2 linked regions of the Drosophila melanogaster genome follow. The protein of the gene in region 1 interacts with the protein of each later gene in a pairwise test. Each region holds a gene or a part of one and is shown in the gene's direction. Other genes may lie near its edges.

Evidence for each region.
Region 2: the proteins of CG9133 (region 1) and sprt interact in a two-hybrid assay, tested with the Drosophila melanogaster proteins (one large-scale study listed by BioGRID).

The regions. Positions count from the first base shown.
Region 1 is NT_037436.4:1,249,751-1,257,380, forward strand, and holds CG9133 (uncharacterized protein), read left to right. Parts: upstream 1-2,261; 5' UTR 2,262-2,416; coding exon of another isoform or gene 2,417-3,482; intron 3,483-3,553; coding exon of another isoform or gene 3,554-3,973; intron 3,974-4,102; exon of another isoform or gene 4,103-4,243; intron 4,244-4,325; coding exon of another isoform or gene 4,326-4,393; 5' UTR 4,394-4,474; coding exon 4,475-4,574; exon of another isoform or gene 4,575-4,616; coding exon of another isoform or gene 4,617-4,647; coding exon 4,648-5,294; intron 5,295-5,737; coding exon 5,738-5,989; 3' UTR 5,990-6,236; downstream 6,237-7,630. Other genes in the region: Sac1 phosphatase, read left to right, coding at 1-319; Bfc (booster for Crq), read left to right, coding at 1,127-1,882; CG9130 (uncharacterized protein), read left to right, coding at 2,417-3,482, 3,554-3,973, 4,326-4,393; tfc (triforce), read left to right, coding at 7,412-7,610.
Region 2 is NT_033778.4:11,393,740-11,399,860, reverse strand, and holds the start of sprt (sprite), read left to right. Parts: upstream 1-2,428; 5' UTR 2,429-2,967; intron 2,968-5,436; exon of another isoform or gene 5,437-5,508; intron 5,509-6,121.

The DNA.
Region 1 (7,630 bases):
CGATGGCCAGCGGCAAGACAGCATCGATCTTTTCCTTGGAAAGTATCTGGTCAACGACAACGAGGGCGGTGCCGTGCCATCGCCGCTGGAGTCGAAGCATGGCTGGCGGTTCTTCACCTTCCCCTCGGTGCTGCTTGTGGCTGTGGCCATGTTCATGATCACGATGACCTATCCGGCCGAGTTTAACACGGAGAACCTGCTGTTCATGCTCTTCTGGGGCGCAATGATCGCTGTCAGTGCCACGGGCATCCTGCACTACGGCGTCGAGTTCGTGCAGTGGCCGCGGCTTTTTCCGCCCATCTCCTTTCGAGACCCATGACGTTAGTGTCGTCTAGCAGAGTCACTGGGAACTACCTCTGCAGCTAAACTGTCCCATTGCTCCGAGAAAGAACAATTGTAAACCAATTCTGTAATCGATTCGACTTCCTCTCAATTTCTGTTTTGTTTTATTCTGTTTTTGTTTAGTCTTAAAGCCCCCCCCAGTCCATTCCCTTCTGCAACTTGTTAGTCATTATATACACAGATCACTTACACTTAGGCGAGCTTCAGGCGGCTGGAAAAGGGGAATGATTGGGGTTTCGATCGGGAAGAAGTGGAGTTGTGAAGGCGCCGCTTATTAACTGCGATTAACTGCAATGTAGATCAATCACTTTTGTAGAACCATTTAATGACATTAAATAAAGTATTTTACGCATTGCTAGAAAACCTCAGACCGGCGTCTTTCTATCTACTTGTGGAGGTGAAATGTAATTAATGATATGGGTATATGGCGTTTATGACAACCATAAAAGATGGCCAGTAAAGGTTAAGAGTACAGGTTACCCAGAGGGTGTTAATCATATAAAGAATGTCATTGTTGATATTTTAGTAGGAATGCAGAGCTCTTAGCTTTTTATTTATATATTTTGAATCGTAGGCAGGCCTTTTACATTCAGTCGCATAGATCCATTTCGAAAATCAGTCTTTCCTTTTCGGCACGTCGTCAAAATCTGAATTCAAAATTCAACATATTTATTTTTCGTCAAAATTAGGTTTCAGTGACTGAAAATTTCTAAAAACGTTTTCAACACATAACAAATTCTTTGGTATAGTAATTTTGTCAAATTTCTAGTTTTTAAGCTTTTATATGAGAATGGACAAGTCGGAGAAACGCTCTAATCTTGCTGATAACTTCCTGTATATGTTGGAGTTCATGGTGGACGATCTGCTGATCACTCGTCCCAACCTCTGCGCTCCGGAGGAGTATCCCACTTGCACGGAGATCACGTTCCGTTCGGTTTTCCTGAACATCCGCGATCGGGAGAACGGAAGCTGTGTCAACCCCTGTTCGCCCAAGTGCGGCAAGTGCACCCTCTTCACGCTGGAATCGCCGATCACGGACGAGGACGTGATGCACATTCACGTTTACAAGAAGCGCACGGAGAGCTGCAAGTTCCTGCTCGGGCTGACCGAGCTGCCGATGAAGCCGATCTTCGATAGGGTGAAGAAGGAGTTCTATTCACAGAACATAAACTGGGAGAGTAACGTCGAGTCCCATTTGTCGCGAATGCCCAAGCTGAGGGGCCCCTGCAAGAAGGCCAATGACTGTGTGTGCTACGAGAGGAATAGGGAGCGGCGCGAACAGTGGTGTCCCACCTCAGAGCTGACCAAGCGGATGCTGCCGCTCTTCAACCTCTGCAAAATGCAGACGGGCAATATAGTGCTGATCCTGAGACTGGTGTGCAATGGGCCCTCTGTGGTATCCTCCTTCCCCGTCCAGAGACCAGTGTGCAAGGATCCCTGCAACTGTTGCTGTCCTTGCCCGCCCACTTGGCCTGCTCCCTGTTCGTCGCCATTCGATCCCTGCGATCCTTGCAAGACCGTGCCAGCCAAGAAGACATGAGTAGGAAATGCAGCTGCGAGCCTTTATATTCCGTACTCATTTAGTTGCCATAAGCATTTTTATTGTTTGACAAGGGATGCGCCTAGCAACTGATAATCATTCGCATATCTTAACTATAAATAAAGTATTTGAATAATTTTTATACCAATTCTGGTGTTTCAGTGACTTGAGGAGGCTATTGTCCATTATAATATAATTTAATATTAAAATTTATATATATGTTAGAAATAAGACCTTACTAGGCATTTTAGGCGTAATAAAATCTACATACAGACAGACTCATCTGCCTAAAAGACAATCTTAATATCGAAAATCAAGGAATCAAGTTTTCAAAATTCATCCGATTCCAGTAGCCCTCGCAAATCCAGTCGGTTTAGCAGTTCGAACACCACAGTCTCCCCGTCTGGACGGCCATTCAAAATCAGAATCTAAATTCAAATTTACTCACAAAATTTTTGGAAGTGCGAGTGTTCGGGCATATAAATTTCTAGTTTCGACAAAACAAAAGCCTAGCCAAAATTATTTCCTTTGAAAATGGACAAGTCTGATAAAACTGAGAAAACTGAGAAATCCGATAAGTCTGAGAAGCCAGAGAAACCTCCCAAGATTGCAGGAAACTTCCTCTACATGTTCGAGTTCGTAGTGGACGATCTGCTGATCACACGCCAGAATCTTTGCGCTCCGGAGGAGTATCCAACCTGCACAGAGATCACGTTCCGCTCGTCGGTTTACGTGAATCTCTGCGATCGGGAGGTGGGCACGTGTGTTAACCCCTGTTCGCCCAAGTGCGGCAAGTGCGCCCTCTTCACTCTGGACTCCCCCATTACGGACAAGGATGTGCTGCAGGTGCATGTCTATAAGAAGCGCACGGAGAGCTGCAAGTTCCTGATAGGACTGTCGGAGCTAAAGGTGAAGCCCATCTTCGACAGGGTGAAGGAGTCCTTTGACATCGAGAATCCTGACTGGGAAGACGCCATGCTGGGGCACATCGCCCAGCTGCCCAAGATGAAGGGTCCCACCAGCAAGGGCCTCCTGGACAACTGTGCCTGCTACGAGAAGCTGAACGAACGTCACGAGCAGTGGTGTCCCACATCGGAGTTGTCCAAGCGACTGCTGCCCCTCTTCAATCTCTGCAAGATGCAGACTGGCAACATAGTGCTGATCCTTAGATTGGTGTGCAATGGTCCGACCATTGTGTCCACGTTCCCCTTCAGCAAGGTCTGCTCCCGCAATCCCAAGTGCCCGGAGCCCTGCTGCGGTCCTTGTGGCCCCTGTGGTCCCTGCGGCCCCTGCCCACCACCTCCCAGCTGCGGCTCGTGCCCACCGCCTCCTAGCTGTGGCCCACCATGTCCTCCACCCTGCGACCCCTGCGATCCGTGCGATCCCTGCAGTCCCTGCTGTGGCGGCGGAACTGCCACCGGCGGGCCCATGGATAAGAAGGGCTGCAAGGGCTCGTGTGCCCAGCCTCCTTGTCGTCGCTGTACAATGGTGGATCCTTGTGCCAAGCGAGTTGAGCCTCCGGCAAAGTGCCTCAGGTACTACTCGTGCAATCTGGACAAGCTCTGTCCCTGTGACTACTGCGAGGACGAGTTCGATAGAGGTGACTATAATCTATCATCAGCATATATAAATGCTTCCTTTTAATGATGTAATGTATATACTTCTTCCCAGAATGCCCCACTGTTCCCACAAAGCGTTGCAATCTCTCGCCGATCGAACAAAAGCTGCAGAAATGCGGTCCCTGCGGCGGAATTCCACCGTACCCACGCTTCATCCAGGAGAAGATGCAGGCCGAGCTCTTGAACAAACCGGAAAAGGATCCCAAGAAGGACAAGGATGGCAAAAAGGGTGGCAAGGATGGAAAGGACGCAAAGGATGGAAAGGGTGGCAAGGACGACAAGGGCAAGAAGAAGCGTCAGGCTGGAGGTGCTGTTTGCCGCGTAGGAGACGAGAATAGTCCGTCCGCCGTCTACGAAGACTGCGATCCTGTCTGCGCAGGAGTCCTCCAGGCGACCAAGAAAATTCGGTACAAGGAGCCCACTGTCAGGTGCAACGGACGGGAGGAGGAGTACGAAATGGCCTGTGATGAAGGTGAGCTCATATATGTATGTATTTAGAAAACGATTTCAACTGGGATTTCGAGAATGCCAAGTAGGCTTCGAAATGAACAACAACACAAACGTCTCGTAACTCCAGCGAAACATTTAGTAACATCTAGTAGTCGGGGTGTAGAAGATCACTCGTTTAGCATTTGTTTTATACATTCGAACGGGAAATGTTGTCTGCCGCACAAAATACAGAAAAATAAAATCTTTCGTTGTTGTTACCCGAGTTTTGGATGGAAATTAAAACAGAGAATCAGTACGTCCGAACTATTTTTTTTCCTATCAAGTTAAAAAATTTTCGAAGCGATCCACTAACCCAAATTCAATTTTCATTTCAGCGCGAAAACGAGCTGTGCGGAAATTGCGCCACTTACTGGTGAAGTACAATATCCAAATTGAGAATTGAAGGCTTTCGGAATTGAGATTTCAGCTTGAGCCTAGTGAATAATTGTATTGACTTACACACTCAATCACTCAACCGCACAACATGGCCAAGAAGAGGGGAAGAAAGGGCAAGAAGGGCAAGAAGCCAAAGGTCGACTGCAAGTTCAAGATCACCAATGAGATGCTCAAGCCCATGAACGAGAGTAAGTACACGCGGATCCCTGCACCGAAGCTCGGGCTTAAGGATGATTCATCCCTTCCAATTGGTATCCTCAGATGTGGACGACTGTGATGGCTGCTGTCAGTGCGCCTGCGATTGCGACTGCAGTCCGGAGTTGGCTCCCTGCTTCATCCAGCCGACCAAGCCGGATCCGGGTCCGGAGGCGTACGACGAGTTCGAGGCCTGCCTCAATGGCAGCGGTCTGACCATACGCGTACTCAAGAACACCCACAAGGTGGAGAGCGTGATGGATGGCAGCGAGACTGCGCCCAATCTGGGCGCAGGCGATGATCCCTGCTATCGCGATGACCCCAATGACTGCGAGCCCGCAAAGGAGTCCTGCCTGCACGATATGCTCCAGCGCAGCTCCTTCGCTCGCAACCACATCAAGCGCCGGACCGGCGGCCGCATCATCAACCACCCGAACATCCCCAAGGTGCGAGCCAATATCAAGTACTCTGGGAACGATGCCTGCGAGACCGACAACTACTACGTGCCCTTCTCGAAGATCAAGGAGGCCTGCGACTTCCAGGAGGCCAAGGTCGACTGCTACCGCCAGCGACTCTGCGGCGGATCCGATCCCATCGTGCCCGCGCACTGTCCCGTCCAGAACCAGCGATCATGTTGCATGCAGGTCGAGCGGAAGGACATCATGGACACCATGAAGGGTGTCAATTTGGACACAAGGCGCAAGGGTATCGAGGTGAGTCCATCCTATATTCATTTGCGCAGCACTGAGTGGCCTAAGGAAATCCATATTTCAAGAATGTTCGATCTTAAATCATTAACCACAATCGCCGATCGCCTCCGCATTCCATTTTTTAAGTTCGCCAGTTACGTGTGCGGATGCGGAATGTGGATCGATTGGTAGTCCGTGACTTTGCCCCCCTAAACGTTGTTGCAGGTGGTGCAACTATGCCACTTCTGCCACTTCGGGAAGGCTTTCGATTGCCTCAATTGTGGGGCAGTTGCGTAACATCTGCCAGCTCCAAGTGTGGAGCACTCTTTTCAGTTTGCGGTGGCAATCCGCTACAGCTTTTTTATTTATGGTAATTTCTGCGAAAGATGCAACGCGTTGCATTGAGACTATTTTGGTTAGCTGTTGCATAGTATCTAAAAAGATTTGTCGCTTTTCTTATTTTTCAGGTTTGCTACAAGACCTGCGAGGAGACCGACAGCGACGTGTTCCTAGTAAAACTGGGAAGTAAGGCCAAGTCGCAGCACAAGAAGAATACCATCGAGATCGAGCTGCGGACGCCCAAGCAGCCCGTAACCCTTCCGATCAGCAAGGTGACCACGGAGACCTATGTTTCCGAGGAGATGCTAACCGGTGGCAAGAAGGGGAAGAAGGGCAAGAAGGGCAAGGGCAAGAAGGGCAAGGGCAAGAAGAAGAAGTAGACCAAGAGATCCGTAGGCGGATCCCATTCCCATCGACCGGACTTGACGCTTACCCTTTCGGAACACATCCTTTGGCATTTTGGAAGCGACTCTTTGAAAATTCACAGCAGCAATTATTGAAATTTGGCTCTGGTACTAACCCATTCATATTAACCCGTCCAGTAAGATGCACGAACACTCACTTTTTCGACTAGTTACGTAAATGTATGCTTTTGATTGAATTAAAATTAAGAAAAAAAAAAACAATAATTCTAGTCCCATTTATGATTAGTTGATCTGATCCCTCACTGATTGATCTGATGTAGATACCCTAACCCGCAGTAATCTGCTTGCAAGTGTATATGCCCATCTTCATTAAGGGCACTTAACTGCCCAGTCAAGGCCGCGGAGGTGTTTCATCTGCAATTGAGGCGGGTCTAAAAATAGCCGACAAAACCAATTCGCGATGCAGAACTCTGATGCCGATCCGATCCGATCCGACCATCTTCATCTATTGCACACCTGTAATTAAAAGCCAGAAATCTTCGCGGGAGGGAGCATCGAGGAGGAGGAAAAGCCGCCGTTGGATGCAGCGGCAGCTTAGCGGTTTGGTCACTTTGCAGTGACTATACTATACGGAGAGGGAGAGATCCGAGAGACCAGAGATCGCAGATCGGGCCAGCTGACCGATCCGATCGGTGGCTCGGAGAGGAGTCGAGCGAGGAACTCGTTTTAGTCGCGTTCAAACGCTTTAGTCTGTAAGTTAACACGGCGAGTGCGAACGCAGGAAAGAGTCGAGAAATCGTGAAGCAGTGCCCCAGCCTAGATGTTAACCATTCAGCGGATCGGCCCCGAATGTGAGCAACTTCTGAGATCGGTCCACGACAGACCACAAAACCAGTGAGGAGAGACCATCCGCTCCAGTTCGCTCGATCCAATTCAATTTCTGCCTCTCGCCGCGAAAGCGGAAAGAAAGTGAATTGAGTGGAGTAGATTTGGGCGATTACTTAATCCGCGTTCGCCTCCACGACCAGGCATCGGACGAACACCGGGCTCCCAGTCCGAATTCGAGGGCGCAAATTAATGGCCCTCGTTTAGAGACTCAACCCGCCCCATCCAGCGTTGACAGTTGGGCGGAGAAAAGCATAGTATTTGAATATTAAAAACTAAATCCGAGAGATACCACAACATTTCCCCAAAACTTTGATAATTTAGAAAGCGAAGCTGCATACCAAATAGGCCCCCGATCTAGAGACACCCGAAAGTCCAACCTCCGACGGTCAGTTGGCTTTCAGTTCCAGCTCGAGATCGCAGGTTATAGCATACCACAGCCGACTGGCTTTCCCCGGTTTTCGGTTACGTGCATCCGAGAGGTCTCCGCCAAGTGCAGTTGCAACTTTTACTGGTGTCTAAGATTCGCGTGAAGAGTGCAAATCGGTGATCATGATCCGCCCCACACTTATCGTAGTGCTCATCTCACTGGCCAGTGTCGATTCCGGCCACAACTCACCCGTGACCACCATCCCGGTGGCCGAGCCCATCAGCCAGGTGCCCCACGGCTTCCAACTCGGCCAAAACAATCACATCAGCAGCAGCAGCAACATTAGCCGGAGTGGAGGCGGAAATGGCCGTGATAAGAGAGGTAAGTACTTGGCCCCTTTG
Region 2 (6,121 bases), on another chromosome or scaffold:
GGACGCGCTAAAAAGGCGGGCCTCTTTAGCTCAGTGGCAGAGCACTGGTCTTGTAAACCAGGGGTCGTGAGTTCAATCCTCACAGGAGGCATCCAACTGCCCCCAGGTTGCCCTGGGGTTGCGTGGGAGTTACACTTTTTTGGAAGCTCTGTGAACTGTGAAAATAATACAAATATTAATATTTTAAGGGAATTTATAGATATGAAGTCCAGGTCGAAGTTCAGCTTAAAATCAATTGATTTACATATCTTTGATTTAAATGTCTTTAACGCACACAGTAATAACTGCGTGGAATGTCAATTTTAAACCATTGAGGCCAACCTATAAGATAAATATCTGCCATTTTATGCTCATGTGATATTAAGTCCATCTCTAAGATACACAATTTTTAGTTAGTGCTCTATTATTATGTAAAGCCATAATAAAAGTACCTCACAGGGAACTATGTTTTAATGGGGTTGCGTGATAGTAACCCTTAGTTTAAACATTCTTGTTCTTCTTGTAAAATTCTTCATTTCCCTGCGCAATGTGCACACTAAATTAGCCTGTTGCCCTAAATCGAGAGCACCTGTCACCTGTGCAAGGACTTTTGGGCGTTCCAAAAACGCGATCAAGTTCCGCTCCCATTGGTTTTTAGCTGGTGAGACAATTTATGTCGTCTCGCGATCTTGGAAATGCTCCATGGACACGCACACCTTTAAGGAAACATGAAAAAATGAGGATCGGCAGTGGAAAGTGAGTCCAGGTAGCGCAACGCAATGTTTTCTTTATGATGGCATAAATACGGTTTTAATTGAGGTTGCAAGCGGCTACTTGTTCGGTCATTGAAATCTCATCCACTTGGCATAAATTACGAAACAGGACTCTCCCTCGGTTTTTTCCATTTTTCAAGTGCCACAAAATGTTCGAGTTTATAATGTTTGGCCTGGCCTTTGGCCCCGACCTCATCCTCAATTCAAGAGCCGATCCCAAATCCCGATTCAATCTTATTCTCGGAAAAGCGAGGGAAACCCAAAGCAAGTTTAGTTTTTCCAGCCACTTGCGGTCTTCGTTTCTTTTTTTTTCGGTTGTGTCGTTGTTTATTTTGTTCGGGATGAAAAACCATAAAAAGTGGTTTCGCGTAACTGACAGCGTCAAGTGATTTTCCTTTGTTTTTCTTTTCGGAGAGGAAGTGTTTCTATTTCTTTCGTTTTTATTATTCGACAGGCAACAAATATCTCTTCGATTCTCCGCATTCTCGATCTTTTGTCTTGGTGCGCTGAAGAAACGAAAGACTGAAGTCACAAACGTGTATGGAAATGAGCAGTCATCCGCTTTCAGATTTGGTAATAGACTCGGTCTAACGGTAAAGCACATTTCACTCGCAAGATTTGATTTATAGCCAGTGGCCCTGCCTCACATTAGCTAATCGAAACGATATCAGCCCGCAGAAAGTTTCGCAATTAGGCGGGCAGAGGGTTAAAATATGACGCACTTAAAGCGCACGAGAGGCGCATGCGTAATCCTTTTTTCCTGTTTTAATTTTTGTTTAATTTTGATTTATGCCCGCTCTTGAATTTCGGCTTTGTTGTGTATCTATTTTTGGGCTGCATTTAATGAAGGGAAATACAATCAACGCCATCAACCCCTACGCATGCGCATTTTACCCTCGGCACATGGCAAAGGGTTTTTTTCGGGATTGTTGTGATCATTTTAATTGACTTTGCGCACGAGCGAACTCATCGGACCGAAGCGCCTAAGATAAAGGGCAGATAGAGGGCACTATATAAAACCGAGTGCCATATGTCGATGACGCCGATCTCGGTGATGCAACTGCATCAGCAGGCAAATGAGCAGTTTAAGATACGCGCTGCATCGTAAAATCTCAGATGCAGCGGCAGCTGTCAAAATAGCCAAAGACACCCACCGAAAAGTCGAGGGAGTGGAGTTCAATGCACTGGAACTCTATTACCACTACCCATCTTACCCATTACGATCACAGCGCCTCGGTCGCACCAACTATAACCCAATAAATCCAAATCCAGGGACCAGTGCACTTCGCAAGTACTCGCTCTACAGAACCGCTCTCTCACTCACTCACCCACCACCAGTTCAACACACCTAGCTCCTTTTGAGCTAAAAATGGATATACATATATATGATTATGATAATTCTAAACCATTCTTCGAGTTAGAAATTTAAAATTGTAGAACTTTTTACTAAGCCACCTAATCATATTTCAAATTAGATATCTATCTCAATTCTTTTACGCACAATTTCATATTTGTCTATTTTTTCACAGACCTTTTCAGCTATTTAGCTTTTCTTTATAAGCAAATCCATACAACACCGACAAAAAAACAGAGAGGGTGCAGTGGTGAGAGCCGGTGAGTGAGAAGCCGAGAGAGCGGCTTCATGTAATGCCCGTTTGCCGCTAAAGTCACGATGTTCAGACTTCATCCAATCGTCGACGCGATCGGTTGTGCTCGCACTCTCCGTGTAATCCGAACCCGATTTTGTGATTAGCCCTCCGCTGCGCCTGCGTGAATTCGTGGACCTTCTTCAATCAACCTGAACCTACGTGAATTTGTGCGTTTTGTTTACTTGTTTACTTGGCCCATTTGAAAGCAAATTTCCTGCATCCTGCATAAACAGAGGAAACGCACAGCGGAAATAGTATGAGTTATTAAGTCGCTGCAAACGGAAATAATTAACAAAAAAAAAATAAAACTAAATGTGCCGATCGCGTTTTAGCAACGGTTTCGATGCGGTTTCAAACACAATCGGTTTAAGCATTGACATCATTGATTTATGTCCCAAGTGTAAATAATTCGCACAATACAATACACCAAATTGAGGCTTCCCTCCCTCCACCAAATCAAACAAATCAAATGCAATGAAATGAAATGTTGCCATTAATTTGCGCACATTGCCATTGTTCAGAGTTATTGGTTGACTTTTAACTGGGATCCGTACTACTTTAAGCTGGTAAGTAGTTTTCATCGCCCATAACAATGGCAACAAATGAAGAGCGAAAATCACTTGCGAAAAGCGAAAGGTTAAGCAGCGTTCAATTGTTGCATTCTAAAATACAGTGCGGCCTCTTTAGAGCAAACGGGGTCGTCGCAGACAAAACAATAATGATGATGGGGCAATTTATCTCTTCAGAAGGCCGCTCCTCATCTTTACTTGGAATTTGTCTTGCATAATCCCCTTGAAAAACAATTCTGATATCTGAATATGGAGGAACTTTCGAACTGTTGTATAACTCTTTCCTATCATAACAAAAGCGGCAGGGATAATTGAAGGCTCCGAAATAAATTAGTTAGCCGACCGTCTATTAAAACGCGATTTGGTTTGTTGATGAGGCGCAGATAAGGCAGTAAATAGCATGGTTTTTTGCTCATTATGCCACAATCAAGTTCAATGTCTCGTCATAGAATACAGAAAAATTAGGTTCAAATTTCTAATAGAATTCCTCAAAGCAGCCACAATCAATCAGTCAAAAATGACTCGATCTCTAACCGACCGACCATACATATAATTACGTCTGAGAATTTTGCGGTTGAATCACAATCTACGATTCTAATACGTTCTACAGACCCCTTTCGAATCGTGGCTCAAATGCAGTGGCAGGTTCTGTTGGTTCGGCTGGTATCTCGGTCTGAACATCACCCATCTCGCTTTTGTCATTAATTTTAATTAGATATTTCCTTTTGGGAGTCACTGGCTGCATTTGAATAACAATTGAACGCCCTCTAAGACGAAATGTATTCTCCGCTTCCATTTCTTCATTGAAATGCCAAACCCTTTATCGGCAGGATGTCTTTGGGGTCTCTAGAGTGTCATTTACATATTCTTCGGATTCTTTTGGCCGTTCGTCTGTGACTTTTGTCTGTTTCTCGATTTTTTTCAATGCTAACAACCTAATCAGAGTTTGTTTTTCGGGTATTTGTTGGATATGGTAATTTTCGAATGACTGTATTTTATTTTTTATGTGGGCTTCATGTCGTGATTTCTCGCCCATGTGTGGACTGAGGTGCATCAACGCATTTATGCTGACTTTTGTTTCGTCTTCTTCGTCCATTAAGTGGGAATAGAAAGCCGAGATTTGGCTAGATAACTTTGCATACATCGTCGACCTGTGATTGTTGACTATTCGGGGTAACTGTTTCGGTTGCGGTTTTCACTTTCATTCAAAGAGGCGCTGTAACAATTAAAACGAGAGCTGCAAATCTCTTCATCTTCTCAAAATAAACCAAGGCAAAACTATCCGCATCGATTTCGCTTTCGTTTTGATCGTATTTCCGATCATTTGACCAGGGCAATTTGCACTTTCTTATAGCGCCTAATCGCAGGCCGACTTTCTAGAATTGATTTGCATAAGTGATTTGTCCAGTGCGGAGACTTTCGCGACCCCAATCTGCATCTCGGTCTAAAGACAGCTGACGTTCTAACTGTGAACGATAAATACACACTGTGTAGAAAAATATGCCCGAGACTAATTGCCCAGTGAAAATGATGGGCAATTATCAGCTGAAATGGCAACAGCTGCACAGCAAACAGCCCGTACAGTGATCACTCCGCAAACAAACAATGGAAATCTATATATTTTGGTGGTGAACTTGGGGTCAATTCCATGACCGTATGCCGTATGGGTCGAAACAAGTTTCTTAACCTAATTATCTGAGCCGCTTCGTAATATATATTTAAAATCGAGCAGATTTTGTACATTCTTTCTTATCAAACTTATGTTCAAATGATGGAAATATAAAGCTGCAAATCAATTTATTAAAAAAGAGAACAAAGCGGTTGCCCCCGTCTATGATATAATAAAAAGTTTATTAGAACTGCTTGCCAAATAAACAAACCAACGACCTTTTCTACAGAAGTCTCTCAAAGTAGAAAGACAAAAAGAAAGATATAAACCCCAAAACAAAGAAATTTACATATTTATGTCAAGTCCATTAAGCATATTCTTGGCCAGTTGTGGGGCCATCTTAGCCCGGTCTGGTCCATTGAGTTGGCCATGTAGTGAGCAGCCTCCGGGGCGATTAAAATTATCAATGTCGGGGCTGCGCTTGTGACACTTGTGCACACATAATAATGCCCGACAAGTCAGGCCAATTGTCAAGCTGGGCTAATTTGTGAGCAGCCGCAGTGTGTTAGTGCCAAGAGAAATATTTCAGCTCGTAAATAACTCGAACAGACAAGCTGCAGGTGTTGGGAAACTACAAACTAAGCAGGGTTAAGGTTTATAGGAAAACCACGTTGTTCGTAAATAACAAAAACAAAACTTATTTGGTGGCAAGCCCGGGGGGCAAATATTTATTCATAAAGGTAATTATAACGCCAAAACGTTAGTGAAACTGAATTAAGTTAATTTTGATAATTGTTTCAACCTTGTAGGAAATATTCAAATATGAAAATAAAAATAAAAACATGATTTCGTACAAATGCCTCCTGTGAGGATTGAACTCACGACCCCTGGTTTACAAGACCAGTGCTCTGCCACTGAGCTAAAGAGGCTCTGTTGAAACGCTGGCCAAAGCGCAATAGGCATAACCGCAGTCAGAACGCTTCTAACAGCTGGAAAAGTTAACAGCGTCCGTATCTGCTAGTTCTAACAGCGCACAAGCCGTTGGCTTTTTCCATTTGCATTAAAGCAGGCGTAACAGCCAGAGCTTCGAATCAAGTTATTACGCGTATATATAAACAAATATATATATATTAGAACCAGGTGTCATCTCCATTTAAGTAATTGAGCAAAATATTTTTGCATTGTTCCAACAAATTGTGGGCGCGCACTGAGCTCATCTCGCAACAATTTTGTAGGCGCGCTTGAAAGAGAATTAATAGTTAGCAAGTAACAGCAGAGGAGCGGGGCTGGTAACGCCCCCTCCGTGAGATAGACAGAAATTTGATTTGATTTTCAAGCTATTGAATTTACATAAAATCCAGCATTCGCTGTGTGGGCAGAAGATATTTAGCATACGCGCAGCAAACTATCGACATCCGAACGGAATGCATTTGATATATGGCTAACTGAAGATCCGAGATCGAGATCTCTGCTGATTGGAATTTATAGCAAGCGAAATCCCGGTTTGAATTCAAGTTAAGTCCCCTGATCCCGCGGGACCTT